Linked DNA regions of Tamandua tetradactyla. The protein of the gene in region 1 purifies or fractionates together with the protein of each later gene. This does not show direct contact. Links are inferred from orthologs where the notes say so. Each region holds a gene or a part of one and is shown in the gene's direction. Other genes may lie near its edges.

Region 1 (7,367 bases):
CACATATGCAGGTATATGTATGCACACACAAAAAAAACTCTGGACATTCAGCCTGAATGTTAAAACTGATTTATTTTTCTGGGTGATTTCAAAGGATTCTTATTTCTTTCATTTATTTGTATTTTCTAGTTTTTCTACAATGTATACTTTTTTATCACAAAGACAAAAAGCTTTTTTTTCCCTCTTTTTTTAGTAATGTTTACTCAAACATTTTTTTGAGTAATGTCACAGAGAATCAAATTTGGGGTGGAGGCAAGGACAAGAGCAAAGTCTAGAATGACTGCAAATTAAAGATTTTCCAAATTGAACAGACTTGGGGCAGAAGTCCATTTCATTCTGCAGTGAGTTTTTTTGTTTTGCGCATGTGTGGTAGTTCTTTTTTGTTGTGTCGTGGAAATGCAATTATCCAAATTAATTTGCAGTTGTCCTGCAAACTGAGTTTCTCTCTTGTTTCTAAACACCCTTTTCTGAGGAGACAAGTTTAGACTTACAGCAATTATGCACTGGGTAGGAAAGGCCAGTAAAAATGAGGGGACATAAAAGCTCTGCCTTTATATATGTTATTTTTCTCTCTCTTCTTGGCTAAATTTGCAGCCTTTTCTTCTCTTATTTATTCTTTTCTTTAGCACTTTTCCTATGTTGATTAAATCATGGGAGAGAAAAAGAAGCAAAATAAGTTGGTCCTGAACTGGGAGCTAAAAATCTAGTTGAGTTGGATAAACAAAATGTGGTATATACACACAATGGAATACAGTAGGACCTTGTTTTACACAAACTCAACACACATGAATTTAGGTGTAGGTGACTGGCAATCGAAAAAAATAAAGGCAGAGAGTGAGAATTAATATTTAAAAAAATTATTTCTATGATTAACTGTTTATTGTTGCTGGAGTGTTTGCCTTACGTATTAAAAAATGTATGATAAGTATGTTTGTATAAGGAACACCTGTTAAAAAATGAGGTTTGCTATTATGCATGATTTTCAATTTGCAAATTTTTAACTAATGCAAAGGGTCTGGAAGGTATTGGTCGCATAAGACGAGGTCTTACTGTATTATTCAGCTCTAAAAAAAACGGAATTGTGATACATGTGACAAAACAGATGAACTACGAAGACATCATGTTGAATGAAATAAGCCAGATGGAAAGGTCGAATATTGTTTGGTCTCACTGATATGAAATAAGGCAAATTCACAGTCAGGATCTAGAACATAGTTATGAGGGAATGGGGCAGGCATAGGGAATTAAGGCTTAAACTGTACAGAGTTCCTATTTGGAATGATGGAAATGTTTTGGTAATGGATGGTGGTGATGATAGCACAACATATGAACATTAACTAATAGCACAGAAATATATAACTGAATATGGTTAAAAAGGAACTATAAGGTTGTATATATGGTACCATAATAAAAAATTTAAAAAATTCCCTGGAACAGTACAACACAGTGACCTCTAAGTTAAAACAATGGACTATAGTTAATAGCACAATTATAAAAATATGCTTTCATTAATTGTAACAGACATATCACACCAAGATGAGATGTTAATAATAGGATGGTATATTGGACTCCTGTATTTTATGCATGACTTTTCTGTAAACCCACTTCTCAAACAAAAGAAAACAAAATGGGGCAATTTGCACTATATATAGAGGGTGAATGAAAAAAAGGAGATAATCTGTATCCCTAATGAGGACAAAATCCTGGGGGTCATTAATGATTCTGGGCTGAATGAAGACAGAAGTCTTAGCAAATGGATCTTGAGAAGGACCTAGATGAATGGCAAAAGAACCAGATTAGTGAAGTTGGGGGAATTGATGAAGAAAAGGTTTTCAAGAATCCTACAGGTATGTTAAAGACCAAGATAGAGAAGAGGCAGAGGAACCTGGGAGAGGTAAGGTAATGCCAGCAAAAACTTCGGAGTCCAGGGGTGGTGGTGGTGGTGACGTTAATTTGGGGAGGGCAAAATGGTTTTGACATGTCGATTGGAAGTAATCATGGGTCTCCTGGATGATGTCTTGCTAACTGAGGAAAATGTGTGGCTAGAGTTTATGAGGCAGATAACAGATGGAGAAAGAAGTTATCCACAGAGGTAACTAACTGTTGAAAGGCCCAGTGTAGAGCATTCTCCTGGGATAGAAGGTAAAAGGAGAAGAGAAGGCTGAGGGTAGAATCCTGAGTGAATGCCCACACACCCAGAAGGCTAACTGAGAAGGACTAGCAAGGGAGAAGGGGTGACTGAACCCGACTAGAGCAATGCCCTCGTGGTCAAGGGAGAATTAATATGTGAAGATATCAGAATTTCATACGCTGTAGTGAGATAAAAGTGAAAAAACAGAGAAGAGGGTGATTGAGCTTATTTAGGGAGATCTTTGGAGAAAAGGGAAGAACAAGGGTAGAGGCTTTGTCTAGGTAGTTTGGCAATGAAAGGACTGAAAGGAAAAGGGAAACCAGCTTGAAAATGCAAAAGGATTAATTGAAGTTCTCTCGGTCCCACTCCTCACCCCAGGTAGGTCAGTTATATTCAACCTGAATGCAGAAAAAAGAAAGAACTCCATGCAGAGGGAAGGGAGGAAGATATGGGGAGGGAGAAGAGGAAGCCAGCATGCCCCAAAAGAAGGGACTCCCGTTCCTCTGGGCCCAAGAGGTTCACAACATGGACTCTAAGGACAGAACTGCTTTGAGGAGCACGGTAGACAGTGCTGGCAGTAAATGGTCATTATCTTTTTCAGTGAAGCTGGATTGGGCTGTCTGCCAAGAAAGAGAGGCGAAAGTTATGGGGAGAGAGGGGAAGAAAAAGGAAATTTGTAACAGCAACCCTTCAGACTGCCCTTGAGAAGTACCAAGAAATGAACGAAAGGACTGGGTGCTGGATCACAGCTTCTGCAACTTTTGCGTTGCCATCTAATATTTCTTCCTGGGAACTGACAATAGCAATCACCGTAGCCATTTGTCCTGTGGCCTATTATGGGCATTTATGTGCACCATCTCGCTTCATCTTCCTAACAATCTAGTGAAGTAGGTACTAATGTTTCCAAATTAGAAAAAGAGGAAACTGAGGCTTAAAAAATGTTATCACCTCAGTTTAAACAGAAAGGGGGTGGGATGGCCTACCACGTTGCCAGGCAGGGTCCCAGGCAAAGAAAAAGCCAGGCAAGGTGCCTGCCGTTGCGGGGAGACGTAAAAGTAAAGAAATACTTGAACAGGCTCCTTTCAGATTTTGATGAGTAGTGAGAAGATGAGAAAAATACCATCTTGAATCTGAGCAGCAATCTCGTCCGAGGACAAGAATGGCAGGAGAGTGTTCCAGGCCCAGAATCCAAGGGGACGCTGCGGGCCCGCGCTGGGAACGCAAGGCGGGGCGCGGCCGAGGGGCGAGAGCCAGGGGCGGGGGGATGAACTAGCCCGCGCAGCCCGCCGCACACTGCATCAGGGGAAGGCGCCCCTCCTCGGCGGTGGCTTCCTCGCTCCTAGCCGTTGGCCAGGGGGTGTCAGGGGCCTACGGGGCGACGGTCGCCTTTCCCTGCCATTTGCATCCTCGACCGGCCTGGCTTTCCGCGTGGGCAGCTGGCCCGTCTGCCAGAACTTCCGGACTACGATGTCTCTTCCCCTTGGGACCGACGCGGATAGTTAAAGGTGTGTTTAGCAGAAAGTCCTGTGGAAATGAACCTTCTTACTTGTCTTGCTTCCCGCTCTCTCCTCCCCCCGCCCCCCAAGGCTTCTCAAAAACGGCTAGCCTCAGGACGCATCCGTGGCACCCCCTCCAACAGCGAGACCGTTGGTTTGGCCCCTCAGTACGGATTGGCTAACGTGTGAGCCTCGGCCAGGAATTGGCGGGCGTTAGTTCCTGACGCGCTCCCCGCGCCCATTCGCGACTTCGGGGGCGTGGCCAGGCCCCAGGCCGCCCCTGTTTACGGAGCACGGGGGCGGTCCCTAGAGCACCCTGTTTCGCGGCTCGAGCCAATCGGGCCCTAGCCCCGCCCCTGCCCGCTCCCTTCCACGCCCTCCGCGCGGGGGACCGCACACCTTTAGAGCGGCAGCGCGTCCGAATTCCTCACTCCCCCGCAAGCGTGTGCTTGGTTCGGCCCGCGTCGCCTCCTCCGAGCGGCTGCGCCCCTCGGTCCGGCCGCGCTTGGTGCCGCCCGGGAGATCCAGGTCATCGGACGCTCCCGGGAAAACAAAAACAATCCGCGGCGCCGCGGGGACAGCAGAGCGCGGCGGGCCGGGCCAGGGACGAGGGGGGCCGAGCGCCATGGCGCGGGCGGGCACGGGCCGGTCAGGGCTGCCCCGGCGCCGTGGCTAGCGCGCCTGTCGCTCCCGCCACCGCCGCAGCCGCCGCGCGCCTTGGGGACGAGGAGCGAGACGCGGCCTCGGCCGGGCTCGGGCCGCAGAGCGCCGGCATGGACCAGTGCGTGACGGTGGAGCGCGAGCTGGAGAAGGTGCTGCACAAGTTCTCGGGCTATGGGCAGCTTTGCGAGCGCGGCCTGGAGGAGCTCATCGACTACGCCGGCGGCCTCCGGCGCGAGATCCTGCAGAGCCACGGTAGGGCGGCCCGGCCTCCCCCAGTTGCCCCTACCTCTCGGCGGGTCCCGGCGTAGCGGGACCGTCCCTCGTCCCCCGGTTGGCCCCGGAGTGCCGGCAGCCTGCGGGTAGCGCGCGGAGCCCAAGAAGGTGGTCCTCACCTTTGCATACGCTGTGCCGAAAGCCTCGAGTGCGGCCCACGGTGGCAGTCCCCGCAGTCCCAAGAGCCCACTGCCGGGGAGAAGCTCTGAACCGGCTCCCGGGGAACCGGGATCCAACTATTCCGTTCCCCTAGAGGAGCCTGTAAGGAGACTGAGTGGGAAGCGAGTTGTTTCGTGCCTCTACTCACCGGGTCAAGTTTTTACTTGTTTCCTTCTAAAAAACAGGTTTTCTGGGGAAGGTGTTTTACCTATGATATTATTTCACCACTTTCCCAGGCCCTGGGGACGGATTTATTTGCCGAAGTTAATTTGTGGAAGCTGGTTGGGAAAGGTTCTGGTTTGGTTTGGTTTGGTTTGGTTTTAATATATAACGTGGAAGGTCTGGTGTTCTTGCCTTAAAATAGTCACAGCAATGATGGTTTCTGGTCAAGAATAAATCTTTTTACTTAATTGGTTTATTTGAGAGGCTGGGGGTGCTTTTTCAACTTGTGATCTGTGAAGGGAAGCTTATGTAAATGGGGGGTTGGTGGCTGGGGAGAAATGCTGATGCTTGGGACAGTTGACGTGAGGGAAGTGACACTCTTCAAGCTTCGCTCTCCTTTGCCCCCTTCATCTTCTACACCTTAATTCACACATCCCATCCCCCATGAACCCCCACTGTGTTTGGGTTGAGGGTAAGTGCCAGTCCATGGTAAGGGAGTCTTAGGACAACATCTTGTTGTGGACGTACTTTTTCTTTTTTTAACAGTTTTATTCACATATTATTCAATCCATCCTGACAATACTTTTGAACTGCAGGGAAGGAAGCAAACCATTGTGGCGGTGGGATTAGAGAGAATAAGAGTTGAAATATTAATGTGGAAAAACCAGCAGACCTCCGAGGCTGCCAGGGAAGGGTGGTTTGATTGTTTTAGCAGGTGATGATATAATTGGTAGCAATGGGGAAGTGGAGGTGGAGTGGGTGAGAATCCTGGTAAGGCTCTTGGCTTTGGAAATGTGAGACGGAGCTGAATGGCTTAACAAAGATAAGAGTCAAGGGTTTAATATTTATTAGCAGCTGGAGATGCATAGGTGGAGTTTGGGAGAAAAGATCTACGACTGTTTGTTATTTTTACAGAGGTAGGTGGAGATCACACTCAGGTGTAGGAGACAAAAGATTGTGGGGTCGAACCACAACCTTGAACCTCCCTTTGAGAGTGTAGGGCAAAGAAGGAGCCAGCCAAAACTGAAAAGGACAGGCAAAGACTTAGGAAAAGAAAGTTTGGCCAGCAGCTCTTTGGCTAGTGGGAGTCAGTGACTCTGCTTGCAGTTCCATAGGTTTAAGACAGGCCAGATTATTAGGAGTTAAGGAGAAAAATATGATGCACACTGGGTGTAAGGAGACCCAAGGCTACTCACATACAGCCTGAGGGAGGAAGGTGTCTTCTTCCTCCTGGCCCCCTCCCCAGTTTGGAGCCAGAGATGAAATCTTTGCCTTATTAAAGGCTAAATGGAAGGAACTAGTATAGGAAGAGAATGAAAGGCCTACACTTGGGGAGATGGAAGCAACATTTCCATTTTAGGTTCAGGGTCTCAGATCAAAAGATTGTATAGGGAGGGTTTGAGAAGGAGAAGATGGACCTTTCTTTCCTAAGGCAGAGTGTATTTATCCAAGGAGGTGTGACTGTTAGCTTTGTTTTAGGGGATTTGGGGGCAATCCCAGATGGATTAAGTAATTGTGAGGAATTGCCAAAGCAGGTTTCACCTTAGGTCTCTTTGCTCAGTTTCAAGGAACTTTTTTATGAATATATGGTCCCGGGGGTCATACCCACACAGTATGCCATGATGTTAAACCAGTCTGACTTGGTGTGAGTTCCCTTTTCAAACTCTTATTTTTTATTGTCTACCAAAACGGAAAGTCTTATATTGGTATCCCTCTGTTTTCCTTTAATTCTTTAATGATAGGATCAAGTGACTAAAGGCAGTTATAAAACAGGAAACAAAAGTAAATACCAGAGGGCTGTCCATGGTGGCTCAGCAGGCATAGTTCTCGCCTGCCATGCCAGAGACCCAGGTTCATATCTTGGTGCCTCCCATGCAAATAAAATAAAAAATAAAAAAATAATACCAGAAGTGCCAGGTTGAGAGTCCAAAATAAAATCTCTCTTTTTTCTTTTGATATCTTTTATGTATGAAGACAAACATCAAGTTTGGTATATGGGTTATGGTTTTTTCAAAGCAGATGCTTTCTAAATTAAAGTTCTCTGCAGGTGATATGGTAGATACTACATTGAATCTTTTAAAAAAACTTTTTGGTTTGAAATACTTTCAAATTTTCAGTATAGTTAAACTATTATATTGAATCTGAAATATACCCTTCTCAGAGATATATCTATTGAGAACTGAATGTGGAACTCCATTTCAAAGGAGAATGTTGAGAGCTTCGGAGTGTACCAGTCTTGGGCAAGTGATCTGATTAGCTTCTGTGAACCGAGAGAGACTCCAGTTGGGACTCTGTTATGGCTTTGGAGCCTGGGCTTATGTGTGGTAATACTCTTGCAAGAATGTGATATGAATAAAGTAGAATCTTGGGGACTTTTAGGTGCCTCAAGGTCCCTATTGGACACAACGTTGCATCATGCTGGAGAGACTGCCTGTTTCAGAAGAGCTCTTTAACTAGAGTCCAGGGAACCAGTTCCTCAACTC
Region 2 (7,927 bases), on another chromosome or scaffold:
TTATTTACAATTGCCAAAAAATGGAAGCAACCCAAGTATCCATTAACTGATGAATAGGTAAACAAAATGTGGTATATACACATAATGGAATATTATTCAGCCATAAAAAGGAATGAAGTTCTAATACAAGCAACAACATCGATGAACCTTGAAGACATTATGTTAAATGAAATAAGCCAGACACAAATGGACAAATATTGTCTGATCTCACTGATATGAAATATTAGAATCAGTAAATTCATAGTAAAAAATTAGAATATATGTTACCAGGGGCTGGGGGTGGCAGTAGGGAATGCGGACTTAATGCTTAAATTGTACACAGTTTATATTTGGGATGATGAAAAATTTTTGATAACGTATGGTGGATATGGTAGCACAACATTGTGAACATAATTAGCAGCACTGAAATATATATTTGAATGTGATTAAAAGGGGAAATTTTAGGTTGTTTATATGTCACTAGAATAAAAATTTTAAATACATATATATCCATAGGACTGTGCAACAAAAACAGTGACTCCTAAAGTATGGACTATAGTTAATAGTACAATTATAAAAATATTCTTCATTAATTGCAGCAAAGTCACCACATTAATGCAAAAGTGTGGGATAATATTTGAGAAGCCAATTTTATGCATGATTTTTTTCTGTAAACCTATGACTTCAATAAATAAGTAAAAGGAAAAAAATTGTTTGGGACACGGCTAGAGCAAACTTACAAGGTATTTATTATTTATTTATTTGTTTGTTTATTTATTTATTTTTGCATGGGCAGGCACGGGGACACAAGGCATTTATTTTAATTGCGTGAAATACTTTCACTATCGAATAGGAAATCCTTAAGGGACTGTACCTCTGGTTGCCTGAAAAGGAAAAAAACTAGTAATCAAAAGGAAAGCAATAAAATTACAAACAGGAGATAAAAGTAGAAATAGGCAAATTTGGAAAAATTAAAAGTCAAATTGTTAAAAATTAAGCTAGAAAAAGTTTTTTTGAACGACTCAAAATTGATGAAATTTTTATAAAAGTGCAAAGTAACCATACATTACGCCAGAAATTGTCAAGAACAATTCCTGATAAATTGCCTGATAAATTAGTTCTTCAGACTTTCAAAAGGTCAATTCTCGTGTCCTGTTTGTGGGTTCTGTCAGATTGAAACGCGGTCGCCATACTTTGACTGCGGAGGGGAAGGGAAATTGGAGAACCAGCGGCCGCACAGTCTGCCCTGGGACTCCATGTTTTCAGCTTCCCTGGCGGGCACTGGAGAACGATGAGGGGGAATAGCGCCCCCTGGCGGTTGAGGACGGCGTCGCAGCTGCAGTGCGGAAGAAGGGCAAAAGGGCCGGGTCCCAAGTCGAGTAGGTGGCAGGCGAGTGGGGGCCGATAGGGTGGGCACTGGCCCCAAGTCATCAGGTCTTGCAGGGCCATGGCTTAACATGGTCTCTGCAAAGAATCCACATTGCCCTCCTTTCCCTCCTTGGAGTTGGGGGTCCTCCTGTTGGGAGTCCCCAGACTAGAAAATTTTGTGTTCCATGTGTTCTCAAATTCTGCACACAGGACACGTTTACAAAAGAAAACGCACACAGCTCATGGTGCTCCACTGTGAGCTGGAGTTATAAGTTTGCATGTATCTATAGATAGATATAATACATAATCTGTGAGATTTGCGCAATGGTTATTTACTGGTTAAATAATAACAATCCTATAGTCATATTAACAAAAGGTTTTTAATAAGACAGTATTAACTTTTATACAAAAATCTTGAAGAACAGGATTTTTTTCCTGAGGCTGGAAAAGAATCTCTATTTCCAAACCTGATCCAACAGCATTATAGAAAAACATCCCTTTACTCCTGCCTTCACATATCCACCCACAAACATTTATGAAGCTCTCATCATACACCAGTCTCTCAAGTACCTATTCAGGAACTGGAGCCATTAAGTTAAAAAGATACTGTTACCAAAAAAAAAAAAAAAAAACAAAAGACAAAAAACCATCAGAACCTTGAAGGCTGAGCAGCCCTGATGTGAACAACCCTGTACCTACTACAGTGCCTGGCTCAGGGCAGGCTGAATGAAGAATGGTGAGCTGCAGAGGGAGGGGGTGTACGGGCAGGGGCTGAGTTCTGGGGAGCCTTAGAGGAGTACAGACAGTATACACTCCCTTATCCCCAGAGCCATATTCCCCAACTCAGGAGAGGTAGTTCTGGTAGAGATCTTTCAGATCGGTGGTGCTTTTGGGTCTGAGAGGAGGAGGTCTATAGGCTGACATCTGGGGTTCTAATTGGGCATCATCACTCACCAGTGTCTTCCGTTTCTGAGAAAGCTTGCGTTTCTGGACACTCTTGGCTTCTGGGACAAAAGAGTCATCTATGATCACTCCTGAAGACCGTAGGTATGTTCTGCACAGAGAAAGGGAAGCTAGTGGTGGGTGAAAGACCCTGAACAGGCAGAACTCCTCCCCCTGGATCCAAAGGACACAGCCTCCTCTCCCCCACAGAAGCAGGCCCTGGGCCTTCCCAGTGTTGTCAAGCAAGCTCTTGGGCCTGGGCACAAACCATTTTCCTGCCTCCCCAGAGACTTTCTCAATGCCAGAGACTCACCAACTCCTGCAACAGCAGGATACCCTTACCATGAGTCCAGAGAACCCGGTAGGCCTACACTTATAGTCAGTATTCAGCTATGGCTGCAATGACAGTTTAATGTACGTGACTGCCACACTCTGGTGGGTATGGTACCAAAGACAGGGTGCTATAGGGCAAGAACACCAGGGTTTGGGGTCCAAGAACCAGGTGCCAGTCTTGTATGTGCCACTTATCAAACTGATAGGGCCTAGGGGCTGACATCTGGGTTTCCCAACATGATTCCCTTAGGCAAGGCATTTAACTTCTCTCATCCTCAGTTCTCTCACAAAAAATGGAGGTAATTCTTGCTTTGCCCATCTCACAGAGTTGTTAAGAAGTTTAAATTCACGATCAAAGATTCCTTTTAGCGGGTCTCTCTTTTTTTTTTTTAATAGTTTTATTGAGATAAGCTTCTAAGCTTCATGTACTATATAGTCCAAACAAAGTATACAATCAATGGCTCACAATGTCACCACATAGTTTGTATATACATCATCACGATCATTTTTAGAACATTGCATCACTTCAGAAAAAGAAATAAAAAGACAAAAGAAAAATCCCATATATCCCATACCTTTTACCCCTACCTCTCATTGGCCACTAGTATTGATTTTTGCTTTACTCCTTATCCCCCTTATTATTTATTTATTTTTTGTTATTTTTTAACTCATCTGTCCATATTAGCAGTAAATTATCGATATGTTCTACAGTGCTAAGGCTCTGTCCTGTTCTTCATCCTGGCTTTGCTCTAATGGTAGAAAAACAGTAGGCCTGGCACAATGTAAGTGAACAGTAAATACTGGTGAATGAAGAAAACAGACAGGAACAAGTGATGTTTTGTACTGCCACCAAATTTAGCCCTAGCAATTACATTGTACTTCCTTCTCAAAATAGATGGGGATTTTTTTTTCTGAGTCTGTTTCAAATCCCTGCCAAACATGACTACAGTTTTCCTAAATCATTCTTGTGCTGGGTAACAATACTCTTTCTCAAACTTGCTGCCTGGTTCTTGTAGAGTCATTTTAGCTCCAGATAAAAGAATCAAAATAGTCTTTAACTCCTTTTTCTAGGGGGACACTTGCAGGCTTTCTCTGTCAAGGTTTCAGGTCCTGAAGGATTAGAGGAGGTAAGATTTGGTATTTCGCTTTGGGAATGAGTAGATAGGGGAAACTACACTCATTTAGCACTTACTAAGTGCACATTATATGCAAGAGCTATGACGGGAGCTTCACATTTTCTGCTTAAATGTTCCCAGTCTGGTGAGGTGGGGTACATCATCCCCATATTTAAGATGTAGAAACCGAGGCCTGGTACTTTAAGAACTTAATGACTTAAAGCTAAAAAAGTATTTAGCCCAAATTTTGTTCTAATACAGATTTTTTGTGGCCTTCCTGGCCCACGGGATTTGTCATTACATTTTGTAGGGTCCAGAGGCTGCATCCATGAATCCAGGCAGAGTGGGTGTGGGATGTGCCTGGGCTGCTTAGAGTTAGCCAGCACCCACATATAAAGCAGTGAGTGAAGAGGCAGTTTAGCTCCATAGCTAGGAGTTCAGGTTCTGCAGTTTGACATAATTTGGGCTCAAATCCTAGCTCCATTACTTAGCATATTCAAAACATGATCTCTCTATATAAAACTCTTAACGCATAACATATGCTCGATATAAGCTGGCTGTTACCACTAGTGATAAACTGCGTCTGCCCTTTTGCTAGAACGTAACGTCCTTCCTGGGTTGACCAGCCCGGATTCTATTTCTGCACTTCCGCGCCTTTGGGACTGGAGTCCCAGGGCACCAGAAAGAGGCCAGCAGGAGTGCAGAGGTCTGGGTCAGGTGCCGCTTCCCTCGCCAGAAATATTTAAGCCCTTTTTCCGCCCTTGGTTCGGCCAGCGCCTACCTCGGTAAGGGCATGAAGCTGGAGCGCTGCGGCGGCGAGCAGGCCATGACCCTCCGGCTGCAGAGCAGCCAGCACCCAGGGATTGAGAAACTTCGGTAGTGTACAGCCCGTCTCCATGGTGACCAGACCCCAGCGGCTCGGCGGTGGGGGGCGGGGCCAGGGCTGTGCCACGCCCCCGAGCTCAGCGTTCGCGGGCTGGGTGGAAGACCAAGAAACAAAGATAGACTAAGGCCCAGGAGCGGGGTCCTCTCGGAATCAGTCACTACAGAGGACTTGACCCTAGCTAACAGAACTGAGGCGGGGGGATAAATAGCTGCTAGAGGGGCGGGAGGTTCATTAAGAGGCCTAAGGCGCTTTGCCAGCGGGAATTGTAGTTTTTAGTGTCCTCAAGTCTCGGTTGGACAGATTCATGGCTGAGCAGGTATAGACTTCATCTCCCAAAGGTCACAAGCAGTCCGAGTTGGGCCGCCCCTAGAGAGCTCTGCATTGTGGGATATGGAGTACAAAATGTACCGAGGTGTGCCAGTGTCCGAAGAGAGGTGCGGACTCGGACTCGGTTTCCCTGCGGTCCCAGCAGGCTCGCTGGTCATTGGCTGAGCGGGGAGGATCTGGTCTGGCTCCTCCCCGCCCCCAGTGACACAATAGCAGCTCCCTCCAAGATGGCGGCGGCGGCGGCGGACCCGGGAGCTGGGAACCCGCAGGCTGGAGACTCCTCTGGCGGGAGCACGGGGAGCGGGTTACCGTCCCCGGGGGAGCAAGAGCTGAGCCAGCGCCTGCAGCGCTTGTACCCTGCTGTCAATCAGCACGAGACGCCGCTGCCGCGCTCCTGGAGCCCCAAGGACAAGTACAACTACATCGGCCTCTCCCAGGGCAACCTCCGCGTCCACTACAAAGGTATTGGCTAGTTTGACCGTAGTGGGGAAAGACTGGAGCATCTGCGGGGCGGCTATGCTTCTCGACCTCTGCCGGGTCAGGGCCCTTCCCCGGCCCTCGTGCTCTGGGTTAGGCCTTAGCCCAGCGGGGTGTCCAGGGTGGTCTAGCTGACCAGGCCGAAGGCTCACTGCCCGCTTTGCTCTGCCCTTAGAAACCCGAGGTCCAGAGAAGTGCAACAGGTGTCCAGACCCATTGCTGGGCAGGAATTTCCACCCGAAGCCTTCCCTACTTGTCCTGGGATGGCTCCAACTCCAGCTGGGCCCTTCACCACCCTTTAGTTTTACTTATATCTAAAGAAAAGGGTGGTCATAACCCCACCATCAGCCAGGGGCCCATGGGTTTGCTTTTCTGCCAGACATTCCATACTGAGCCAGGGATTCTGCACTAACCTTTAGCATTGGTTTTCCAGTGCCTCCTTCTACTGGGCTCCCTCCAATGTGGGCTGCCCAGTTCTTGAGAGACTGGTAGCAGCTCAGGGGACTTTCACATAGGTACCCATACTCTCTGCACCGTTTTTTTTCTGTATGGGAAACATTGTCTCAGGCAGGACTGCTATTCTCAGGAGGAGGTGAGCCAAAGGTAGGTGGTTTACATGGTTGCTTAGTTGTCTCTAATTTTCCCTTGAATGGTGCGAGGGCTTTCTCTGACCACTGAGAGGTAAGTTTTTTTTTTTTAATTTGTTTTTAGTTTTTATTAAAGAGATTGTGGGTTTACAGAACAATCATACATAAAATACAGGAGATGAGCTTTTGAGCTCTGCTGAAGTTGCCAAGGAACAAAGAAGAATGAAGCTTCCATTTGCATCTTCTGCTGAAATTTCTTTCCTCCTCTCTCCTATTAGGTCATGGCAAAAATCACAAAGATGCAGCCTCAGTGCGCGCCACCCACCCCATACCTGCTGCCTGTGGCATTTATTACTTCGAGGTGAAGATTGTCAGCAAAGGAAGAGATGGGTAAGCCTGGTTAGCACTGTCTTTCCCCTACGTTGACCTGTGCCCTGTGGTCAGAGTTGGACCACTTATGGTGTCTGATAGGAACTTCTGGGCTGCAGAGGATGGAATAGTGGACTGTTTCAATTCCCTGGCTGTAGGCATAGCTTGGTCTAAGAAGCATATCTTGATGACAAGTAGGTTAGTTGGAGGTGGAGAGGATTGCTTTTTATTGATGATGTCATGAGATACTTCACAGGTCACGGAAACAAATAACAAGCATACATTAACAACTCAGTGTCCTGATTGGGGTTTTCCCCTTCAGTTAGGTGTTTGTGACTTCCCTCCTTTCATGGCCTTGGCACATTCAAGATTTTTATGGCATTTAGTCATGCAGTGGCCTCAGTAGGCTTCAAAGGAATAGTAGAGTCTTTGCAGCATTCATCAAAGCTGTGGCAGCCTCTGGCCTGTCATCTCAGGGTAAACAGCATACACATGGTCAGAGTCAGGTGACTTTGCTGCCCATAAACTTGTTTTTCAATCCAGGGACTTGAGTACCAGTTGTACCAGCTTTAGAAGGTCCTCATTAAAGTCAGCATTAGGAGGACTCCCTATTTGAGGGTGATCTAAACAGACACAGGAAATCAGAGGAAATATTGGAGGGATATTCTTCATTTCTCTTTTTCTTCTTCTCCCTTTTTTTTTTTTTTTTTTTACAGTGAATGTACCAAGTAGGTGCTTATGAAATAATATGATTGTGGCTACCTTGGAAAGGTTTTCCATCAGGTCTGGTAGGGGAAATTTACCAACCTTACCAGTGATTTTTGTGTCAACCTTGAGTGTGTATTCTTGAGCATTCAAAATACTTCCTCTCTTCTAGGTACTGTTCCTCTTGTAGCATATGCAGAATGCCCAGCCAAGGGGTTGTGCTAGAGCAGGACTGCCAGAGTCAGAGCTCTGCCTGCTTCCTCAGTGATGTCGAATTTGGCTGTGGCCTTTTGTGGGTCTTGGAGCTTCATTTATTTGTCTGGACTGTGGGAAGTTAGTCCAGCATTTTAGCTTCCTTTAACCACAGAGTTCTGTGATTCTGATTCTGATGAAGGGAAGCTATAGCATCTTTCATTTTTATCCCCATCTAGTACATTTACAGATAGGAAATTTATATTGTTAGAAGGCTTTAATACCCCCACTTTCTCTTCCCACCGTCTGTTAAAACACATATATTGGATGTGCTTCAACTAGTATGAATCAGATGGCCTCCTAAAACAAAACAAACCAATATCTCCCCAAGATGGTTACAGTGTAGAATAAAATGTTGGTATTGGAATTACCATCTTGCCAAAGAAACTGAGGGGCATTTCTTAAACTCTTGGGGAGAGAAATGGATTGTTTCTCTGTAGTCTTTATCATACATAACAGCTGAGCTCTTGAGAAAAGAGGGCAGCTTTTCAGAAGGGAAATCTTCAAACCTAGAGATCTGGATTCCTTCCACTGACTTAATATTTCAGTTTTAAGTGACTTTTACTGGAAAAGGCCCTGTTATTTTG
Region 3 (7,658 bases), on another chromosome or scaffold:
AATTCCTGAAATAAAAAATTTGAATATTTTCCTGAAATAAGGAAAATATTTATTAACATAGTTCATTACTATAGCAATGCAGATATTTGTAAGAACTGTCTACTTGATATTTTTGAGAATATTCAGTTTTGACAGCTGATCAAATGGTATCTTAGTTTTTAATACTTAGAATTTAAGAACTTCGCTATCCAAATATGTAGAATTTTTCCTTGTTGCCTTAACTTTTAATTGGTTTATGAAATTTACTGCAAACACAGGCTTTACAATGATTATATGGATATTTTATTTAATTATGCCTATGGTTAAGCTAACTAATATCTATTTTTGGCGGTTCTAAGTGTATTGCTTGTTTTCTTAAATAAAAACATATTTAAAAAAAGTTATTACCAAACAGCTGTGGTAAAATGTGTAGGTATTCATGATATGTGATAATAGCTAATACAATATTTTATTGAGAATAACACATGCCAAGCATTTTACATTTATTACCTCATTAACTTTTATGACAACTTTATGAGAAAAGCCCTACTTTCTCCCCATTTTATAGAGAAGCAAACTGAACTTACTAAATACAAACACTGATCGTTTGTCAAGGCTAGGATTTGTACTTCAGATTGTTCTTAACTGACCACACACACCACACTGGGAATCTTAAACATTTTAAAAAAAACTTCTATTAACTTACAAAAGGTGTGAGAAAGTTCTGTATGCTATTATTTGAAGTACTTCCCTAAATATCTTTCCTACAATAAGCAGATCTAGCGCAGCTACTGCCAATAATTGAATATTAAATCCGGCATTGCTTTCAACCATAAAATCAAAGGATCTTTTAAATCTAGAAATACGCACAAACAGTATAAGAGTAAACTCACAGGGACTGGCTGAAAAAGAAAAAAAAAAAAAGGTAGCCTAGGAATTGGGGAGAGTTAGTACTGAGCTGACTCAAATTCTTATGTTAATAAACATTAGAGAACTATCTACCTGATCACAAGACTTCAAATTTGTAAAACAAAATGAGGGGGTACATGTAGAGCTCGTTATGCGTTATCATGAGGCTTTAGTTATAAGGTAAAGATTATTTAGTTATACAACAAAGTATCACCATCAAAGATCAAGGCACCTGGGTTACAGTTCAGGGAGTTTCAGTAGTTACAGTATTTATTTTTGGATGTTCTACAATATATTAGAAAATAAGAAAGCATCTATATAACGATTCAGTAACCACAGTCATTTGTTAACTCTTAAATCTTGGTTATAGGTATATATTACCTGAGAGAAATGTATACCTGTAACATGTTCTCACAAAAGCATATACACAAATGTGCATAGACGACTTAGTCACAATAGCCAAAAGTTGTAAACAATCCATGTGTCCATCTGGTTTATACATACAAAAGATAATTATTTAGCCATAAAAAGTAAGGAGTATGTGCTACATGGATGGACCTCGAAAACATTATGCTAAGTGAAAAGCTGAAACTTACGCTAAGTGAAATAAATCAGTTATAAAAGGACACATACTGTATGATTCTATTTATATGAAATGTCATGAATAGGCAAATCCATAGGGAAAGAAAAAGGGTTGGCAGTTATCTAGGGCTGGAGAAAGGGGGGATTTGGGACAACATCCAAAGGATACAGGGTTTCTTGGGTGGGGGGTTGATGAAAACATTCGAAAATTATGGTGATGGCTGCATAATTCTGTGAATACACTAAAACCCACTAAATTGTCTACTTTCAATGGGGATATTACATGGTCCATCAATTATATCACAATAAAGCTGTTAGAAAAAAATTCTTCAGGCCACATGTATTTGTGCAGCAATTAATGTAAATGGGCTAAATGACTAAACACACTCTATTTTCCAAATGGTTCTTGCATCTACCGCTGGGATTGGCAAACTTGTTTCTGTAAACAGCCAGACAGTAAATATTTCAGGCGTTTCAGGCTATCCCATCTGCTGCAACTACTCAACTCCACTGTGGTGGTGAAAGCGGCTACAGACCATCTAAACAAATGAGGGTGGTTATGTTTCAATAAAACTTCATTGAAAAAAAACAGGCTGCAGGGCTGAACCCCTTATCTCCAGGATGTCCCTCAATCCACACAACCACTCTACGAGAAAGGCAGGAACAGGTCTTGCCTCTGAGGCCCAAGACACAGCTAAATGACTTGTTCAGGTGACAGCCAGGCCGTAAGTGGTGAAAAACAGCCTGGACTGCACCGCGTCTGCACTCAGCACTCCTGAACGCCTCCCACCCAAGCAGTCAAGGGTATTTGCCAGGCCACAAGCATCCTCAAGTAGGTCTCCTCTCCAACATCTCAATGGCTCTTGCCAAAATGCCCCCTCTCCTTTGGAAAACCTCCAGCGACAAGCCCAGTCCTCAGGGGCCAAGCTCAATCTCCTTGCCAGTCGAAGCCTTCATCGAGAAGCAGAGACTCTCCCATCCGGTAAGGTCTTTGCAGAGCATGCAGCGGCCTGATACTAGGCACCCCTCTCCCACACTACCTCATTCATTCATTCAATTTTTTTTCCACATATGACCACCTCCCATGCGCCAGGTACTGCCAAAAGCCTCCACGACTGTGTCTGCAGCGGAAAGGAAAAGGAGAGAGCAGATCAGTTGCCACCGTGATGGAACGTGAGCAGTTACTAACCAACACGAACTCCCGGCTTTTGTCAACTTGAGAAACTCCGGCTTGTGTCCCCTTTGCTCATGCTGTGCCTCTCTGGGATGCCCTTCCTCCTTCCTGTTTACTGCTTCTCATGGGCCACTCCAGGCCCATGAGATACATGGATGAAGCCTCCACTCCCTGCTACATCCAATCCCCTCCCCCATTTGGATAAAATTCTTTTACCTAGGAGCCAAAAGGGTCCAGAGAAAACTAAGTCCTTTAACTTAAAGAGGAAGATGAGCCCCAAAGAGAGCAGTCACATGCCCAAGATCACACAGCACTCCAGCATTAGAACCAGACTTACATTCCTGCCACAGTGCCTCAAACTGCCTGGGGTGGTTTGGATTTCTGAGAGCAGGTTGTGACAGCAAGGTCCCTCACACCAGGCTCACTGTCACCTCTGGACGTGTTCTAGCTACCTAACACTCTTCCTCCTCCTCTTCACCCAACTCCTACTCATCCATCAAGGCCCAACTTTAATGCCCTATTACTCACGACTCTTTCTAGATCCTGAGCACCCCCAACATGGGAATCAGGGCGTCTCTGTGTTGTCGCAGCTTCTTTGTATTATAACTTCCTATTTAATCAGAACAGTATAATCTTCTGCACTTGACAATGAACATTCTCAAGGTGGACCACACCTGTCTTGAAACCACTGCACACCCTACCTCCGGCATAAAGCAACTAAGGGAAGGGAAGGAGAGTGTCACTACTCTTTATTCACTAAAATGAGATCCTCCCACCCAAAAACCTCTCCCCAGCAGGAGGGAAAGGGCCAAACCGTTCTTCAAGGCCTCACTCATCAAGGGCGGAGGGGGAAAGTGTCGGTATGTGTGTGTGTGTGGGGGGGGGGGGCCAGGCAGGCCAACCTTTGCCCTCCACGACCTCTCTAAGTCTGCAGCGTGACCCTGGTGAAGTCCCGATTCAGAACCCGAATCTCTCCGTCCGAAACCTGGGATCACACCAGCTTGCGCTGCTAAGGAGACGAAAGCCGTGAGCTTTGAGAAAAAACGCCCGGGCCGAGCGGCAATGACCGTCTAGGGCTGACACACCCGGGCGCCCTCCGGCCCGCTCTGCCCTAGTCTGGGCTTCGCTTTCCGGGTCTGCACAGGACCCTACCTGGGTACCCACCCTGCATGGCTGAACTCCTCAGCCCACCTTAGCCCGGCTCGGGCCCTGGCCAAAACGGAACGGACCCTGGCCTCACCTGTCGGGGGCGCGTAGGCCCGGGCCGGAGGCAAATGGTTTGGCCCCGACCCCAGGGAGGCCGCGAGGCCACGCGGGGGCCCGCTCAGGAGGCGGCGCCCCCAGCCCCGCAGCCGGAGGCAGCTCCGCCACATGGCTCCCGAGGGCCTGGGGCGACGCGCGGCGCGAAGCCGGAGAGCAGGAAACACCGAGCGAAGGAATCCCCGAATCGCGCCGTCGGGCCGTACGAGAACTCCCCTCGCAGCCTCCACGGATTCCTCAGCGTCCCCGGGACGCCGTCACCTTCCGCGTGACGCCAACGGCGCGCCGACGCTCCCGCGCGCCTCCGGCGCACGCCCCCCGTCAATCAGCATCACAAACGCGCCTGGCCCCGCCCCACCACGCCGCGCCTCGGCAGGAAGACTACAAGTCCCAGAGGGCCGCTCGCGCACCCTGCCACGTGTTTCCTCCGCCCGCCAATGGGCGGGAGCGCCGGCTGAGCCTGTTCCTGCCCCCCGGCGCGCCCGCACCAATCGGAAGGACTGGTGTGAGTGAGTGAGAGTGTGTGTGTGTGTGTGTGTGTGTGTGTGTGTGTGTGTCTGTGTGTATGTGTGTGTGTGTGCGAGGGCAAGTGAGGAGGGGATCCAGCGCCGGACGGGGAGGCCCAGCTCGCAGATCCCGGGGTCCCGGGGCTGCCGGAGCGTTGGTCCGCAGGCAGTGGGCGGGTGACCCCTCCCCACCCGCCCCCGCCGCGCGCGTGCGCGCCCCGCCCCGCCCTCCCCGCCGCGCTCCTCGGCTCCCGCGCGGCGGCGGCCGTTCCTCTCCCCTCCCCCCAGCCCTGGCTCCCGGGGACCCCGCGATGCCGGTCCGCACCGAGTGCCCCCCGCCGGCCGGTGCCGCGGCCGCCTCGGCGGCCTCGCTTATCCCGCCGCCGCCCATCAACACGCAGCAGCCTGGCGTGGCCACCAGCCTGCTCTACAGCGGCTCCAAGTTCCGCGGCCACCAGAAGAGCAAGGGGAACTCGTACGACGTGGAGGTGGTGCTGCAGGTGAGCGCCGGGCCGGCTGGCCGGGCCCGAGGGCCTCCTCGCGGCGTTCACGGGCCGGAGCCGGGCCCCGGGGCCTCGAGCCCGCGGCCGCCGACCAGGCCGGGCCGCCGGGGCCTGCTGCACCCGCCGCAGCTCACCCGGGACCGGCCCCGCTGGCGCCTCAAACTCCGCGAGCCGCGGCCCGACCTGTCCCCGCGGGCCCGGGGCTTCCGCGACCGGCTCCCGGCACTCCCTGAGCCTTCCGCCGGACCTGGCTCCCCGGCACCCGACCCCCACGGGATCCGGAGCCCCCCCATGACTGCCCCACTCCGGCCTGGCCGCTCCTTCTTCTTGACTTGTCTCCTCTGGAGTAGCCCCTGCCCATCCCTCTCGGGGGTCCCCCCACAGGCTAGGCCCATGCCAGATTCTCCCAGACTTGAAACAGGCCCCCCTTCTCAGTCCCAGGGATCCCCCAAGATCAGGGCAGCCCCCCCTCGAAAAAGTGTGGTCAGCCCTCCTACCTGGGAGTCCCTTCATTCCGTTAGCTCCCAGGAGTCCCCACCCACAGCTGAGTCCCCAGACCGTGCCCCCCTCCCCTCAAGACCAGCCCCTCGCACCCTGGGAGCCGCCCAGTGGGGCTCCTCACAGCCTGTTAGCATCTTGCCTCTTGCGTCCCCCGCGGTACCACCCACAGTTCCAGCCTCTGCATGCTCCCAGCACCCGGCTCCTCGCAGCTGCCCCCACCCCCAGGCCTCCTGTCCTAGGGTTCGCCCACTCCCTGCCCCCCCTGCTCTGGCTACTTCCAGTGTCCCAGGGCTCTCCCCCCAGACCTCCCCACCCCATACCTTCATCTTCCTCATTCCTTGCTCCAGGGAGCCCTCTTTTCTGTGTTCTTAACTTTTATCTGCACCGGCACAGGGCTTCCTCCTAGTCTCTGATACCCGCGGGCTGGGAAATCCAACTCACCCAGTTCTGTGTCTCACATGGATATTTCCTTTCTGTGTCCATCCACCTCCCCCTACCTGACCTGGATCTCGAGTACCTGCTGCCAGGCCGGACCAGGCTTTGGGGCTACAATGCCACCTGCCCTGGCCCGTCCAGCACCTCTCCCCTCCCACACAAGCGGTAGCACACATGACATTTTTCCCCAGCCCAAGGAGGTTGGTGGTGTGAATACCCCTTTTTATCTTTCCTCCCCACAAAACCATTTTTCCTCCATGCCTGCTCCTGCCTACCTTGAAACCCACTTTTCTCCCTCCCTCTGCCCCTTTTTCCTTAGCCAGACGCCCCACCTCCTAGGCTGTTCCCCCAAAGCCTCTCCAAACAGTGGTCCTCCCTGGAAATCCTACAGAGAGTTTCATAGTCCACGTGTGAAGCCTGACAGCTTCTGTGTGCAGGGAGAGAATAGAGGACGTGTCCCCTCCTTGCAGCCCTCCTCAGTCTTCTTTTATTTTAAATCCTAAACCGCTTCTCTTCTGAACAGACAGGTCTCCCAGCAAAGTCAGTGGGGGGACGTTTTTCTTCCTGCTAACTGTAGCTCTTTTATCACTTTCCATTTCACACTGTTCCATGGAAATAAGTAACTTTCTTCTCTTTTTTTTGGACCAGGAGGACTGCATCCTCATGTTAATTCTATCTTGGTCTGTAAACTCCAGGCTCTAACGTGAGCTGTGATCTCATTGTAATTGAGAAACTACTGGGCTGAGGTAGTTCAGTTCTTCAAAATGATATGTCTAATGCAGTGATTCCCCTTTGCTTTCGCTTGATATGTGAAATGTAGTGTGAAGGTGAGGGCTTTATCTTTTTGCAGCTAAACATGAAATCCTGGAAGTGAGATCCCTGTTTGGACCACATTTGGGATGAGCTTGAATTTGTGTGCTTTTTTAATTGGATGGTTTCCAGTGCTGTAGGGACAACCAGTGGGGTAGGTAGCTAAGTGTCAGAGGAGGGTCTGCCCGGCAGCCTGCAGGAACTGCTCTCGTCTGTCGTTAATGTATAATATTCCTGAACTCACGTCAAGTGCCAAGTTTCCCTTGAGCCAAGTTGAAGGTGTGACTGAGCTGCTGAGTTTGTAGAATCTGATGTTTGGAGAAACTTCTGCACTGCTGATAGGTCTCAGGACAGCCCAGAGGAAAAGCCTGGCCAAGTGCTAGAAGCCGCATGAGTGGGGTGGCTGATGGGGGCGGAGAGACAGTCATGCCAAGGAATGCCGCCCTCCATCCGGCTTCAGCGGCTGCTTGGTCACCCCAGGGACTCATCAGCGGCACGGGAATTGCTCCATCATCTGGTTTTTCAGCCAGGACTAGTTTCTTCGACTCAGCCTTCTTAGACTACTTCTGCCTTTTGTAAGGCAGCCACTTTCTTTCCCTTCCTTTCTTCCTTCTTTTCTTCCTTTTCACAGCTTTATTGAGATAGAATCCACATACCATACAATCCATCCATTTGAAGTGTACAATTCAGTGGTTTTAAGTATTTTCACCGAGTTGTGCAGCCATCACTGCAATCTAATTTTAGCACATTTTCATCATCCTGAAGGAAGCCTTATGCCCCTTAGCTTTCACCCCCCAACTCCAGCTACCACTAATCTACTTTTTGTATTTTAGATTCGCCTATTCAGGACATTTTTTAAAAGCAGAATTATACAATATGTGGTCTTTTATGACTGGCTTCTTTCACTTAGCATCAGTATTTGATTCCTTGGCCAAATGATAGCTGTTGTATGGCTGGACCTCAGTATTTGTCTCTTCATCAGAAATGGTCATTTGGGTT
Region 4 (7,358 bases), on another chromosome or scaffold:
TTTGGAGAGAATGCCTTTTGAGAATGACGAGAAAGCCACAGCACAATGCTGCAGAACCACAAAACAGAGAGTCCACCAGCCAGCAACTTTTGGAAATGAAGAAGGAAAATGCCTCTGGAGGAGCTTCATGAAAAAGAAGTTGGAAGAGAAAGCTAGCAGACTTCACCATATACCCTTCCAGCCAAGAGAGAAACCCTGAATGTCACTGGCCTTCTTGAACCTAGGTATCTTTCACTGGATGCCTTAGATTGGACATTTCCTAGACTTGTTTTAATTGGGACATTTTCTTGGCCTTAGAACTGTAAACTAGCAACTTATTAAATTCCCCCTTTTAAAAGCCATTCCGTTTCTGGTATATTTTGCAGCAGCTAGAAAACTAGAACAGTGGTGAAGGTGGCACCCGGCAGTGGACACTGTGGATAGTCTACTTATGCGGCCTGCCCTCCTTTGGTCTTTGTCTATTTTAGGCCTGGTTGTCCAGGCTTCTGGTCAATTCTGAGAACCATTCAATATCTTTCCAATTAGTTCCTTCTCTGCTTAAGAGAGCCCAGTTAACTTCTATTGTTACCGAGAAACCCAACAGACACAGATACTTATCAATATTATGGCAATATATGGTAAGAACTGAAAATATAGGTTCAGGAAGAATGTAGATAAACTCAGCTTATGGCGAATGGATTTTGGCTATTTATAGTTCTATGGACAGTTCTAAAGTTTTCATTAAAAATGTACTTTTACTTATACGTTATAATTGTCCGTTATAGAAACATTTTTAAAATTTATTTTTTTGAACACTAAGTACATTATGTATTGTTTTCTTTTTTGTGAAAAATAACATATAAAAAAGCAATAAATTTCACAGCACAGCACAATAATTAGTTGTAGAACAGATTTCAGAGTTTGGTATGGGTTATAATTCCACAATTTTAGGTTTTTAGTACTAGCTGCTCCAACACCCTGGAGACTAAAAGAAATATCAATATACTGATTCAGCAATCATACTCATTTGTGTTAAACTCTACCTTCTCTGTATAACTCCACCATCACTTTTGATCTTTTTCTCACTCTGTAGGTGGTGGTTGGATTACGCCTATTCTGACTTTTTCATGTTGGAAAGGGCTGTCAATAATGTGGGATGGGGGATGGAACTAGCTGATGTTCTGGAGAGGCTGGGCCCTCTGTATTTTAGGATTTATCTGATCCAGGGGCCCATACAGAAACATTATATGATGTCCCTTCATGTCTCTTTAAACAACTACTTTGGCAGTGTTAAAATGATCATTTAGTTCCAAGAAATGATCATGATGATGAATATGCAACTATGTGATGATATTATGAATTACTGATTCTATATGTAGAATAGAATGATCAAGAGTTAAGAATGTTTGCGTTTGTTTGGTGTTTTTTGGTACTTAAAAAATTACCAAAAAAAGATCATTTAGCCTTTTTATCATCTAGCATCTCATAATCATTTTCCATGCCTTCTAAACCACATTTTTTATGAGGCCTAGTAATATTTGTGCAAGGGGACCTGGATGGAGAGAGGTTAAAATTCCAGCTGAGATCCACTAAGTCAAGAGGAAGGGGTGCCTTTTTGTAATTGTTCACCTTCTTTTGGCAATTCCACTTCCCAGAAGGGATGTCTTGTAAAAAACTAACACAAATGGGTTTATGTACTCCTACAGTCTTCAATTTTGACATATACGAAATTATTGTACATATACGATAATTTACAGCTTCCTTCATGTTGAACATTAATTTTACTTTTGTATTTCAACCTATTTATTACTTCTTGTTGATATTTTGGGGCCTAAATTTCTTCCACATTGTAGTTTTTTTTTTTTTTGAGTTGTGATTTTTTGAATATATAAATTGTGATGGTTAAGTTCATGTGTCAACTTGGGTAGCTTAGGATGTCCAGTTGTTTGGTAAAGCAAGCCGGCCTGATAATTACTGTGAAGGTATTTCGTGGACTTAAATTATCAGTCGGTTGATCGCATCTATGGCTGATTCCATCTACAATCAGCAAAGGAGATTGCCTTCAGCAATGAGAGAACTCATCCAATCAGCTGACGAACTTAAAGGGAAAACTGATATCAGCAGTCAGAAAGAATTTCCATCTTTAGTTCAGTCAGGCAGCTTCTTCTGGGGAATTCATGGAAACCTTTATCAGAATTTCCAGCTTGCAGCCTGCCCCATGCAATTTGGACTTGCATCCCCACAGTCCTGTAAGGCAATTCCCATAATAAATCTCATAATATTTATTATATATATACACAAATATCCTGTTGGTTCTATTTCCCTAGAGAACCCTAACGAATACAAAAGGCATAAACATCTTGATAATTCTTTATAAACATCACCACATATGTGGCATTATAAAACATTATCAGTGTTCTCTGCCACCTTTGTATAAGAAGGTGCTCATTTCCCAGCATCCTCCTCCATAACAGAAATCATTAAGTTTTGGAGGTTGCTTGTTTGGACTGTAACCAGTCCCTCTGATAAAAACTTTCAACTAAATGTCAGACAATTCTGTTCCCTCAACCATTCTTAGGACATGTAAAGTTCTAAATGGTTTCCAAGTGTGGTGACAGGAAAAAAAGTACCTTTTCATAAATAAACCTTGATGACTATTTCAAGAAAGTTTGATGAGGCTTGGAGTCCATCTAGTCTCCCAAGGCCTTACTGCACTTACATAGCACTTGGCTTATATTTAACTCAATGTTATTGTAAAAGAAATGAGAGTTTCAAAACAATTTAAATACAATGAAATCATGTGGCAAAGCGCACTGACTTGAAAAAGTCATTGAACAAGTTAGAACAATGTGATATTTTTATTAAGGAACAACAGATTATCAGGTTGGGTAATTGAGGGAGAAATTAGGCTGACTTTGTTATTAGCTCCAGCCAGAGATTCAGGGCCTACAATTAAATCACCATTTACCTACCCTCTTCAAGAGAAAATAATTCTCCATTCAGCAAAAACTTTTCTTTGCTTATTGGACTAATTACCATTATAACATCTTTGGAAGCAAACAAAATGTCGGCGTTTATATCATGTAGTTCCACCATGTAGTTTACACGTGTAAGGCCAGATTTTACCGGCTAGGAAAGGAAAACGTTATATACGAAAGAAAGTAGTGAAAACAACACAGTAACTTGGATGGGTCAGAAGGAAACACTCCAAGTTGTGTCAAATTTGTCCACGAAGCACTCTACGGGGAATTGCAAAGTAGGAAGTCGTATTTTTTTTACTGTGCTGACCTCGGTGAATATTTCCTTGTCTGAAAAATGGGAAGAATCTTTTGCTACCTAACAAAGAGGCTTGTTATGAAATTAACGAGTCTATAAAACGCTCTGACGTCTGCAGAAGTCCCTCCTAAATACACACTATACCCGTGTATTCAATCAGTTCATGTTCCCGCTCTTTGAAGATTTGCCAGTCTTTATGAGTTTTCATAATGTGATACCTACCACTAAAGTCCACTTTAAGTCCTCGTTAAGTTAATTAATGAAATACTAATTTAAGTGGAAGAATTTGCCTTCAGAAATGGTTTCCACTCCCCATATGGTAAATGTGAAGGTTTTAAATTCCGTGAAGTATGAAAAGCAGCAAGAGGAAAGCAGTGCGTCCTCCAAGCGGGAGGCGGGAAACCGGACCCCCCACCCCCCTTCCCTCCAGGCTGCTAGCCTCGAGGACCCCATCGGACGCCCCGAACCCGAGCGTTCCGGGGGTGCCCGCGGTCCGCCTCGCGGCGGGCCCAGCGGAGCTCGATTACTCTTGTCTGGGCGGGAGCTGTCGTCGCCGCTCCAGCGGTAACCCACGGGGGAGGTGGGGCGACGACAACAAAAAGAAGTAAAGTAGGAGGAGACTCGCCGCGAGGAGGGCCGGACGGTCCGGCGGGGGCTGGCGGGAACCCTCGCAAGGAGGCCCCGGGAGGACGCCGCGCCGCCTGGGCCGAGCGCCCCACCGCACGCACGCGGATTCCACACAGCCTCCTGCGCCTGCGCGCGCTCGCCCGGAACCCCGCGGCCCGCCCCCCGCCCGGCGCCCTCCGTCCCCGCCCCCTCGCCTGGCGCCGCCCGCGCGCAGCGTCTCGCGCCCGCCCGCCCGCCGCGAAACAGCCGCGAGAGCAGCGGTCCGGCGGCCCCAGCGCGCGTCCTCGGCCTGCGCTCCCACGTCGTCTCCAGCCTCCGCGCTTCGTCCCAGGGCCGCGCGTCCGAGCTCCCTTCAACGTTCTGTCGGGGCCGCCCCGGGCCCCCAGCCCGTCCCGGTCTCCAAGCCCTCAACCGTCGCGCTCTGCTCGGCGCGCGGCCCGGCCGCCTGCTTCCGGGGCGGGCGAGTGGGCGCCTGGTGCCGGCGGCCGCCGCGACAGCGCCCCCGGGAAGCGCAGGAGGAAGGAGAGAAGAGGCGGAGGTGGCCGCTGGCCGAGTCGCGGCCGGGATGTCCGGGCAGCAGCAGCCGCCGCCGCAGCAGCAGCAGCAACCACAGCAGCTGCCGCCGCCGCCGCCCGCGGCCGTGGCCCCGGTGTCTGGGGTGGTCCTGCCGGCGCCCGCGGCCGTCAGCGCCGGCTCCTCTCCGGCGGGCTCTCCCGGCGGAGGCGCGGGCAGCGGCTTGGGGGCCGCGGCGGCCGCCCTGCTCCTCCACCCGCCGCCGCCGCCGCCCCCGGCCACCGCGGCCCCTCCTCCGCCGCCGCCGCCGCCTCCCTCCTCGGCGGCCGCCCCCGCACACCCCGCGCCCCCCGGCCTCCCCGCGGGCCCCGCCTCGGCCCCGGGCCTGGTGGCGGGCAGTAGCGCCGCGGCCCCCTTCCCGCACGGGGACTCGGCCCTGAACGAGCAGGAGAAGGAGCTGCAGCGGCGGCTGAAGCGCCTCTACCCGGCCGTGGACGAGCAGGAGACGCCGCTGCCGCGGTCCTGGAGCCCGAAGGACAAGTTCAGCTACATCGGCCTCTCTCAGAACAACCTGCGGGTACACTACAAAGGTACGGGGCGTGTGCGCCGCGGTGGGAGCGGGGCGCTGACCCGGCTCTCGACCCGCCCCCGCCGCCCTCCCTCCGGGTCCCGGGTCCCTCGGAGGTGCCTCTCGCCGCTCCTCCTGCAGCTCGTCCTGCAGCTCGTCCTGCAGCTCCGGGGGTGGGGAGGGGTCCCGGTGAGAGGTCCGAGGGTGAGGGAGAGTCGTGGCGGCGGAAGGTGAGTGGATAATGCTCCTGGGTCTGATGGAGCTGGTAATCCTAGGCCGAGAGTAGGATACGTTGAGTGAATCCAGGATGACAGGACGGAACTCGCTTTCTTCGCTGTAAGATAAATCTTAGGGCTCGGATTGAGGAATCTATGGGCTCGGAGTTGGGTTACATTGTTCTCCAGGTGACGGGTCAGGCGTTCTCTTCTTACGTAGGGGGAGCGGCGCGATCTGGGGTATGATTTCTAATTAAAGGAGAGCAGGGGTATACGGGGGGAGGAATGATCAGCGGAGGATGTGGCCCGAAATTAGGCCAGAGATCGTCTAGGGGGACCAAAGGACAACCGGCCCAAGTTTGCGTCAACGTATCTTACTAAAAACAACTGGGGAAGGGGAAGAGGTGAAACTACAGGAGTACGCGTTTTCTTCGGGGAGCAGAAACCTACCACTGCTGATTGGAAATGCCCTGGATTTACGTTCTGGTGTTGCGTGAAGTCTTGTTGAAAACAAGGCTTTGGTTTTTTCCATTATTTAAAATTTTTTGAAAAAAGGACTCATTTTATACCTGCATTAAAAAAACAATCAGCCACTTTAGGCTTGTGCTTGTCTCCCTCCTCTCCCTCACCTATCTTCCGTTACATTAAAACAAAGCTTTACACATGTCTGTTGTATATAACATTATAAACTGCTATAGCAAGTTTTGAAATATATCGCTAATTAATGTCACGTGTCAAGTTTACTTGTCCGGAAAAGAAAAAAAAAATCGATCTAATGTGCTGGTCTGTCTAGAAACATCCAGTTTTTTAGGCCCCAGACCTGAAGCAGTAGCTTTTGCATTCAAAGCAGCTTCATTTTGATTGGTTACGGGGGGGGGGGGGGGGCGGTTCTTAATCAGATCAGAGTGACATGAATATAGAGGGTAAAAACAATGTCTGGTTAAATTCTTAAACTGTACTAAAGACTGAAATTTGAGAACCTTGATAAAGAAGTTACTATTTAATCTGAAAGGAAAATGGCAACAGAAATCTAAATAAGTTGTCTCCAAAGAATCATGCACAAAAACAGGCCTTGTTGAATATTCCTTTTATCCTTGCCACAGTTCCAGAGAAATAACTTTACATTTTAAATGTTATGTTACTTAATCAAAATGACTTAGTTTTGGACCTTTGTTTATTATTAGGTTAGGATGTTTTGTTTATACCCTGTGAAAGCTGTTATTTAATTTGTTTTTTAATTTGCTTGAACAGTACTGTGTTACAAAGTGTTTACTTCCAATCTGGCTGCTGGAAAGCTTTTGTTGAATTTGATGAAACTTTTTATCATTTTAAATCTGTGATTGATGGTGAATAATTAGCTTATAAAATATCAGGCAGAATAATACATAAGGTTATTGAACAAAGAATCCTAGGCCCTCCGGAGTCCTGCAATCATTTGTGATTTTAGACATGTCACAAGACAGGGCTTGAGTTTCTTCCTGAGTGATGAGGGACTTGAGCTGAATGGTTGGTAAGGAAATTTCCAGCTCTGAATTTCCATGATATCTAAGATTCACAATTACAGTTTATTTAATACTGTAACATGCCTCGATTAGTTTTACTAACTCCTTTTACACAAAATTGATTAGTTGGGGCAGAGGTAAGAGCATAGTTATGTGAAATTAGTTGGAGTTCTGAACATTTATGCCACTGCTGTCTCAATTTTTTTTTGTTAACCTCTTTATTATGTTCTGTTGTGTAATAGTAAGATTCACTTTCTAGAACCATCACCATTTTAAATAAACATAAATCATTATTTTTGGAAGAATAGATAGTACTCGTTCATCCTTTTTTCCTTTCTTTTCTCTCCCTCTTTTCCATCCTTTGTCTCTCTCTCTTTTCCCTTGTTATAAAGTCACTCTCTTTTCCCCTTCTGCCTCTTCCTCTTACTTGTGTGTTTGTGTGTGTGTTGTCGTGTGTGCCTTCCTTTTGAGTGAACCGTGCAGAATGGGGCAACTGTGTCACAGTAGCAAAGTAAGGGAGCAAAGGAGAACCGTTGTGGAAATAGGAAATAAAACTTTGAAGTCACAAAATAAGAAGAGTGAGTTTTATTTAGACTGTTGTGCTGCTTCTGATTTTACCTAAGCATTGTATGACCTCTAGCCTTAAAATCCACTGTTCACTTACTATTTTTGCATATT

The links.
Region 2: the proteins of RMND5A (region 1) and RANBP10 purify together in Homo sapiens (affinity purification with mass spectrometry; 4 studies listed by BioGRID and IntAct, counting the BioPlex papers as one, with this or other methods). This does not show direct contact. The link is inferred for Tamandua tetradactyla from reciprocal best matches to the Homo sapiens genes RMND5A and RANBP10.
Region 3: the proteins of RMND5A (region 1) and GID4 purify together in Homo sapiens (affinity purification with mass spectrometry; 4 studies listed by BioGRID and IntAct, counting the BioPlex papers as one, with this or other methods). This does not show direct contact. The link is inferred for Tamandua tetradactyla from reciprocal best matches to the Homo sapiens genes RMND5A and GID4.
Region 4: the proteins of RMND5A (region 1) and RANBP9 purify together in Homo sapiens (affinity purification with mass spectrometry; 9 studies listed by BioGRID and IntAct, counting the BioPlex papers as one, with this or other methods). This does not show direct contact. The link is inferred for Tamandua tetradactyla from reciprocal best matches to the Homo sapiens genes RMND5A and RANBP9.

Annotation. Positions count from the first base shown.
Region 1 is NC_135343.1:60,346,547-60,353,913, reverse strand, and holds the start of RMND5A (E3 ubiquitin-protein transferase RMND5A), read left to right. Parts: upstream 1-4,349; 5' UTR 4,350-4,400; coding exon 4,401-4,542; intron 4,543-7,367.
Region 2 is NC_135342.1:61,645,796-61,653,722, reverse strand, and holds the start of RANBP10 (ran-binding protein 10), read left to right. Parts: upstream 1-4,913; 5' UTR 4,914-5,177; coding exon 5,178-5,412; intron 5,413-6,292; coding exon 6,293-6,404; intron 6,405-7,927. Other genes in the region: TSNAXIP1 (translin-associated factor X-interacting protein 1), read right to left, coding at 2,302-2,401, 4,519-4,565. UniProt on the Homo sapiens protein: May act as an adapter protein to couple membrane receptors to intracellular signaling pathways.
Region 3 is NC_135332.1:1,681,685-1,689,342, forward strand, and holds the start of GID4 (glucose-induced degradation protein 4 homolog), read left to right. Parts: upstream 1-4,644; 5' UTR 4,645-4,721; coding exon 4,722-4,910; intron 4,911-7,658. Other genes in the region: ATPAF2 (ATP synthase mitochondrial F1 complex assembly factor 2), read right to left, coding at 3,885-4,017.
Region 4 is NC_135351.1:16,820,112-16,827,469, reverse strand, and holds the start of RANBP9 (ran-binding protein 9), read left to right. Parts: upstream 1-4,344; 5' UTR 4,345-4,447; coding exon 4,448-4,985; intron 4,986-7,358. UniProt on the Homo sapiens protein: May act as scaffolding protein, and as adapter protein to couple membrane receptors to intracellular signaling pathways. Acts as a mediator of cell spreading and actin cytoskeleton rearrangement.